Macaca mulatta: one gene and its partner. The main gene of each other region encodes a partner of the protein of the gene in region 2 in a complex. Links are inferred from orthologs where the notes say so. Each region holds a gene or a part of one and is shown on either strand. Other genes may lie near its edges.

The links.
Region 1: the proteins of INHBA (region 2) and FST are in contact, whole or in part, in a crystal structure (PDB 2P6A), measured with the Homo sapiens proteins. The link is inferred for Macaca mulatta from reciprocal best matches to the Homo sapiens genes INHBA and FST. Residues at the interface, in NP_002183.1 of Homo sapiens: Asp315, Phe327, Asp337, Trp338, Ile340, Ala341, Gly344, Tyr345, His346, Gly360, Thr361, Gly363, Phe368, Thr371, Arg397, Ser400, Leu402, Tyr404, Asp405, Asp406, Gly407, Gln408, Asn409, Ile410, Ile411, Lys412; in NP_037541.1 of Homo sapiens: Trp33, Arg35, Val44, Leu45, Arg60, Phe76, Met79, Asp135, Glu152, Pro154, Glu155, Val180, Val181, Asp182, Gln183, Tyr188, Val190, Arg221, Thr224, Cys225, Arg229, Ser230, Ile231, Gly232, Leu233, Glu328.

Annotation. Positions count from the first base shown.
Region 1 is NC_133411.1:61,277,244-61,279,976, reverse strand, and holds part of FST (follistatin), read right to left. Parts: intron 2,619-2,733; coding exon 2,427-2,618; intron 1,994-2,426; coding exon 1,775-1,993; intron 1,428-1,774; coding exon 1,203-1,427; intron 526-1,202; coding exon 295-525; intron 1-294. UniProt on the Homo sapiens protein: Multifunctional regulatory protein whose primary function is to antagonize members of the transforming growth factor beta (TGF-beta) superfamily including activin, myostatin, GDF11 or bone morphogenetic proteins (BMPs).
Region 2 is NC_133408.1:86,728,482-86,732,832, forward strand, and holds the start of INHBA (inhibin beta A chain), read left to right. Parts: upstream 1-1,327; 5' UTR 1,328-1,551; intron 1,552-1,849; exon of another isoform or gene 1,850-1,857; 5' UTR 1,858-2,054; intron 2,055-4,142; exon of another isoform or gene 4,143-4,351. UniProt on the Homo sapiens protein: Inhibins/activins are involved in regulating a number of diverse functions such as hypothalamic and pituitary hormone secretion, gonadal hormone secretion, germ cell development and maturation, erythroid differentiation, insulin secretion, nerve cell survival, embryonic axial development or bone growth, depending on their subunit composition.

The DNA of each region.
Region 1 (2,733 bases), on a different chromosome or scaffold from region 2:
TGTTAATAAAGCAAACAGCAAAGCATACTACCAAAGCACAAGAAATAGGGGAAAACAACTGGAAATAGATTTTTAGAGGCAACCCCATTGATGATCACCGGATAAATCCTAAAAGCCAAGAAACATTGCAGAGAATTTTTCTGTGGATTATTGAATTGCTGGTGATACTTAGCAGCTTCCTAATTTGAACAGAAATGAATTTATGTGGGAGATCTGCGAGCTTTGTAAGTGTCCATTCCCTAGGGATTGCCTGGGAAAGCCTTAAATGGCAGCAAGGTTAAAAATCACACTTACAGTTGCAAGATCCGGAGTGCTTTACTTCCAGCAGCACACCTGAGGAGCAGGCAGCTTCCTTCATGGCACACTCACTGGCATAAGTGGCATTGTCACTGGCACAGACAGGCTCATCCGACTTACTGTCAGGGCACAGCTCATCACAGAGGGAACACCGGCCTCTCCCAACCTTGAAATCCCATAAACATTTTTTCCCACCAGTGCACTGGATATCTTCACAGGACTTTGCTTCTAGGATATAATACATCTGTGATGAGTAAACTGATTTCCCCATATCCCCCTTTTCTCCCTTTCTCTAGTCCTCTATCAATAAATATAAACATAATTTATATCTTATTACTAATGGGGATAATGGAGATATTAAGCAAAAATGCTGGATAATAAAACTGAAACTCAAATGCATACACACATACACACACACAAAACCTCTGCAGTTTCTTACATACTACATTAGTGCATTAAAATAGTATTTTTTTAGAACAGGATTTTACAATATTCTTGAGTTAAATATGTATCTTATTATTTCCCACAAGTGGGATCTTTTACAAATGAAAGAATTCCATTAATTACTAGAATCTGATAACAGATTTCTGGAACTGCTAAGTAATTATTTTTCGCTTCCAGCAAGTCTGGCACTTAAAAAAATGTGTAAAATTGAGTGAGTTCTAAGTTTTCTAAGATGGAATACTGTTTCTTGCTTCCTGCTGGCATTTGAATATATGTGTCAATGCCTCCAGAAGACAACGGTTTCCATGAGGAATGCTGTGGTCATAACAGAGCCCAAATTGCAGCATATTTCTCCCTATGGTGTTTTGGGATGCCTTGGGCTTACTTATTTGTTAACCCCACAGTTTAATACTAGAACTAGCCTGTTTTCTCTTTTTCCTTCCTCAATCCGGAATACCTACTGATACACTTTCCCTCATAGGCTAATCCAATAGATCTGCCCAGCAGGCAGGTAGCCTTTCTCAGGTGGCAGGCACTGGAGTAGGTGACTCCATCATTCCCACAGAGATATTGCTCAGAGGAAGTGGGCTCTGGGCAAATCCGATTACAGGTCACACAGTAGGCATTATTGGTCTGGTCCACCACACATGTGGAGCTGCCTGGACAGAAAACATCCCGACAAGTCTCTGGAACAAAGAAGGAAACACACATGAATAGGTACCTTCTAGTGCTTAGGGAGCGAGCACTTGAAGTTACCAAGGCAATCATGACACTGAAGCATCCAGCTTTCAAAAGGCAATTTTGGGAGCCCTGTAGTTTCCAAGAGAGAATCTATGACTCTAGGTTGGTCCCCTCAGTGTTCTTAATGAGTCTCTAGAAGTTAGAAAAGGACTCCTTTTTGGTTTCAGTATTATTATTATCAGGCTCTTACTGTGGACTACACCATCCCCCAGAGGTCTCCTAGAGGGTCTACTTTAGGTACAAAGCTGGAGGAGGGGACAGATCCAGTCTTGCTCAACAGGGTAGGACCTACTTTTACATCTGCCTTGGTACTGGACTTCCAGTTCTGGCTGCTCTTTACATCTTGCCTTTAGGAGTGCACATTCATTGCGGTAGGTTTTCCCGTCCAGCCCGCAGACTGGACCCTTCCAGGTGATGTTGGAACAATCCGGGGCGCAGACGCAGCGGGGTTTGTTCTTCTTGTTCATTCGGCATTTTTTCCCAGGTCCACAGTCCACGTTCTCACACGTTTCTGTGAGTTGGAAACAGGCATGGATTAAAAACCAGAGCCAGGCAGTCTGCAGGTCAGCCAGGAGGGCTTCGGGTGCCTTGCGCAATCATGCAGCCCTGAGTTTGCGCTGGAGGGGCCCCAGGCTCTCTCCTAGAAGATTGGGAGTTGATGAAAGAGTGCGGACCTTCGGTTGTGCCCCAAACCCAGATTTCTCTCATCAAGGGGCACAGGTTGGTGGGCTTCACCACCACACTTGGCTAAGAAGTCTGGGGTGTTTTACCTACAGCCTGTAACAGGCAGAATTCGAGTCTGCACGGCTTACCAGGGCAAGGGACAGAAAGGGGAAGCCCACGAACAAAGCTCTCCTACTCCCAAACCCCAGTCAGGTAGTGGGGAAGCTAAGGGTAAGACGCCCTCTACTGAGGGCCTGGAAGTCGGGAAGAAGGAGTCCTACCTTTACAGGGGATGCAGTTGGGGGCTCCCCCGTTGAAAATCATCCACTTGAAGAGTGTGTTGTCATTCACGTCCTCCTCGGTCCATGAGGTGCTCAGACGGCCGGTGCTGCAGCACTCCTCCTTGCTCAGTTCGGTCTTGTACAGGACCTGGCAGCGGCCGTTCTTCGCTTGACGGAGCCAGCAGTTCCCAGCTGTGAAGAGACGGGGTGGGGAGGTGGGTGAGTGAGCAGTGAGCGGTGAGCGGTAGCAAGGCAGGGAGAGCGAGGTGGCGAGGTGGCGAGCGAAGGAGACCTGGCGGGGATGGGG
Region 2 (4,351 bases):
AAGTCATTTGCCCAGCAGTTTGAAAATGGTGAATCCTAAATTTGAACCCAGGCAGTCTGACTGTAGGACCCATACATTCAACCACTACCTTTTACCTCATCTTCAAATGGTATTTTTCATACTTCAGAGCACTGAGGTGCCTGTGCCCTTGGTCACCGGGAGGCCATACTTGCTGCACCCGTCTGGACCATCAGGGTCTTCCCCAGTCAGAGGCCACTGCCAGGGCCAGAGACAATGGAGAATTATTTAGTTTCCTACAGTTCTAGAAACTGCCTCTGTTTCAAGCCCAGGAAGAAGGCGTTCTGAGGAGGACATTTCTTCTTGGGACAAGGACCCTTGGTGAGATTTGGCCTTTATGCACCTCCATCTGAAAAGCTAAGCTTCTCTCTGGGAATTCGAATTGAAGGTTAGGGATGATTGCTCAGATGGGGAAAGTGTGAAATGGTAATCACTTTCATATGACACTCGAGAAATGTTATAATAAAGCTGAGTAAATTGGAGCATGAGTTAGCCGGTCCTTTGCCTAATGATGTCACCCACTTTGTGCTTCCTCCAGCCTATGATTAATAAAAGAGGGGTTATGACAGTAACTCACTCCTAGTGGGCAGCAGTGACGTCAGCAGCAGCTGAGCAAACTGACTACATTTAGTTGTGCGTGTGTATGTGGGCATTTTTTTTTCCTGTGACTAACATGAAGCTAACAGCATCTAATAAAACAAAAGCTCCTTGAAATTTGGGAAACTTATTGGGTGAACTCTTTTCTACAGGGAGCACCATTTTAATTATTCTCAGCTCATAGTTAAGTGATGTTGGAGTTGGCCAAAATTACCTTGTTGGCTTTCTGCCCCTGTTTCATTAAGGGATCACAAATGAACCCCTGGCCTTTGGGAGAGAGGTTTCTGGAGTGTTTTTTTCCTTCTACTATAGAGGCTCCTCCCTCATTCATTACACTCTTCCATCTTTTAAGAGGAACTCAATGAGTAGAAGAGGGATTGTAGCCATAAGTTATTTTTTGAGAGTTTAAAGCTGGTTGTAGAATTCAGTGATTCCATTTTAAACTCTAAGAATATTGTGCTTAATTACAGTTTGCTTTTCCAATCTGATAAAGTGACAAAAGTCCTACTTACTATTTCACCTTTGCGAACTTGACCTTCCTAAAATTAGAGTGGGCCACCTGGAAATATTTGCTCACCTAGCTGAGCTGCTGCCAGTGTCCACGCGAGCCCGCAGGACTCGTGAACAGCGGCACTCAGACCATGCCTTGGAGCTGCTCCCACAGAGGGCAGAACCTTTGGACTCTATTAGGACACGAGGGAGGCAGCAATTCACTGATTTAAAAAAAAATTCACACAGGACTGCCCCCAGGCTTTTCTGTGGGGCTTTTTTCCCTCCAAGCAGTGATTTGGGAACAGGCTGTGGGGGGATCTTTGTGGACAGGCAAAACTGGATGCAAAGCAAGATTGCTGCCCTCTTATCAGTCCAATGGAATCTACGTGCTAAACCACCATGTCTTCAAGTCAGCAATGGAACTTATTACCCAAGGGGATCCAGGTGAGAAAAATGATTACAACAATCTGTTCCGTGTTCCTTGGGGAGTATTTTTCAACAATCTTCTGGGGCAATAGGAAGATAAATTGTTGAAGCAGATGTTTCCTGATTGGGTTAGAACTGAGTCATGATAAACAATTTTGAAATATATATTGGTCAGGAAGAATGTTGAGGGCATATTTCTTCAGGTTGAGTTAGTCTGGGTTTTCTTCAATATATGTTTTTCTATAGTGGTTGTAAACGAGTATTTCTCTCAATATTGAATTTTTTTACATGTACCACTTGGTTACTTCTTGGGAAGAACTCCAGGCATTTCTGAATCATTTGAAAGTTGATTGAGGCCTTTGGTTCCAAAATGACCATTTACCTGAGGAGATGGTGATTCACAAGTTGGAAGAGATGACACGGCGTCAGAGTGTCTAAGACATTCCCCTCATAGCTCCCTTCATCTTAAAATGATCTCTGACCTACCCTTTCCTTTCTGGAGGACCCAAGTCACTCAGGAGGTAAGTGATGAACCAGGGAAGTAAGCCCTCACTGTCTGGACAACAGGATTTCAGTTCTAAGCTAGTTTCATCCAGGCAACTTCCTTTTTGTGCATTTCACCAATACTTGTTGATTACTCTTACGATTTTCCATGAGGTGGAATCCTTCACAATAGTTTCCCCAGTCCTCACAGGAGAGCAACACCTGGAAGGGCTGGAAGGGCATGGCCTTCCTTCAACAGCCACACCACTTCCTTTTACAAAGGAAGTTTGGAGAATATAATGTTGCTTGCAACAGCCATTAGGATTTAGCAAAACACTGTTTTATCTCTTTGGATATTGATTGTATGTCATTCCCCTAAGGTATTAAACAAATAAAATCAAGCTACAACATATTCGTTTGCTCTAGGAGAAAGGCAGGGTAATCTTACTTTTGTGAATTTTACTTCAGGGAATTCTCTCTTGCATGGATTTATCTGATACTGAATTGCTAAAATGAACAACTCAATCCTTTATTCATTTATTCTTTTGCATGAGTCTCTTGTCTCCTAACAACTTGGGTGTAGGCCAGCCCATCTCATTTTGTTGCTGGCCACCAAGATTCTGCTTTGGTTTAGAACAAAAAGCCAGCAGGAAAATGTATTGAGGCCATACATGAAAGTTGGTTGGAGCAACAATGTTGCCCAAGAGGAGCATTGTAGCTGTAGTCTCCAGTAATCAGAGAACATAAGATGCAAGAGGCAGCAGAATCACTTGAATTATTAGTATTTTGTAGAGTTGCAATGTTTTTCTTGGTTCCCAAGGCCTCTTGGAGATGGATAGGGAGAAGGTTGAGTGAACTTTACAATTATAACATGAAATCAGGGTATCTCAACTGCAGAACAATTAACACTGTAGGCCAGATAATTTCTTGTTGTTGGGGGCTGTCCTGTGCATGGTAGGATATTCAGCAGCATCCCTGGCCCCTACCCACTAATGATCAGTAGAACCTCCCTCCCAGCTGTAACAACCAAAATGTCTTCAAACATGGCCAGATGTCCCCCAGGGAGCAAAATCGCCCCAGTTGAGAACCACTGCTGTAGAATGAAGAGTAATAGGTTACTTGCTGGGTTTTTTTCCTTCTTCTCTTTTCCGCAGTTGTTTTAGTTCTAGTATCTGGGTTCCCTTGCTTCAGAAAACAGCATTTCCAAATACTCTAAAAACAGAGTATCCCACTGTTTTTGTGGAATATCCCACGAAGCAGAAGGCCTTGTGGGATATTCCAGTGGTTCTGAAAGAAATGTGAAGCTTAGGAGTCAAGTTTCAGATTAACCATTTCTGACCCTGTTGTTCTCAATGAATTTCAGGGGACTTTTTAATGTTTCCCTCTCTCTCTCTGTTTAGAGCTATTCATTCATTGACTTAACTTGAAAGCAAAACAGCTTCCCAGTTCAATTTTGAATGTGAAACACTGCTTCTCCTTTGTCCCAACTCTTTCTACCTAACATTCAGCCCAAGTTATGTACAGGCTGTGGCTGTCCAGGAAACAGGCCGTGTTTGCCAATCCCATGTTCAATGTCAACCATTTGATGAGACCCTTCTTCATCACAGACTCTGGCAGTCTCCCTGCAGCAGATAGTACTCTGGATCCTGACCACATTCTCTGGATTCTGAGCTGCCTCTTGAGGGAGTCACCCCTCACCAAGAAGGCCAGGTTTTCCGGCCTGAGCCCCAGAATAACACATTAGCTGCTGGGAACACCTTTTGATTTCTCTCCATAGTCACGTTTTATGTTTGGTTTCCCAGACGGGATGAACCAGAAATCATGCGTTTTTGGAAACAGATTTTTTCATAGGAAGGAACGAAAACACCCGGACTCGTCAGCACTCTTGTCCATGCCTCTGAACCCCCAGCCTTGTGTCATTTCAGTTGAATCAGAGAACAACATCCCAGTCACCTGCTTGGGGTGTTCACGTCTCCTGGCTTATATTTTTGACTGAATAACAGCAATCCGTGAGCAGCAGCTAAAATAATAGAGCCCTGAAAAATGTCCCCACCCACCCCCCCGCTCCGCTTTTCTGGGCCTGTCTCCTTGCTCAAGGAGTAGTGAGGAAAGACACCAATTAATAGCGTGGATGAAAGCTGAAGGACAGACGGTTTGCTTGAGAAGAAAAGTGAACATTCTTGCTTCCTCATCTATGCCAACTTTGAACAGGGACAGCTGCTGCCACAGGTAAACACCACTATAGGGTTGGCCATGGCCCTAAGCTAGGTGTCACCGCAAGCCACAGGCCGGCACACGAACGCTGGCCTCTCCCCCATTCGCACAATTGAGCTCT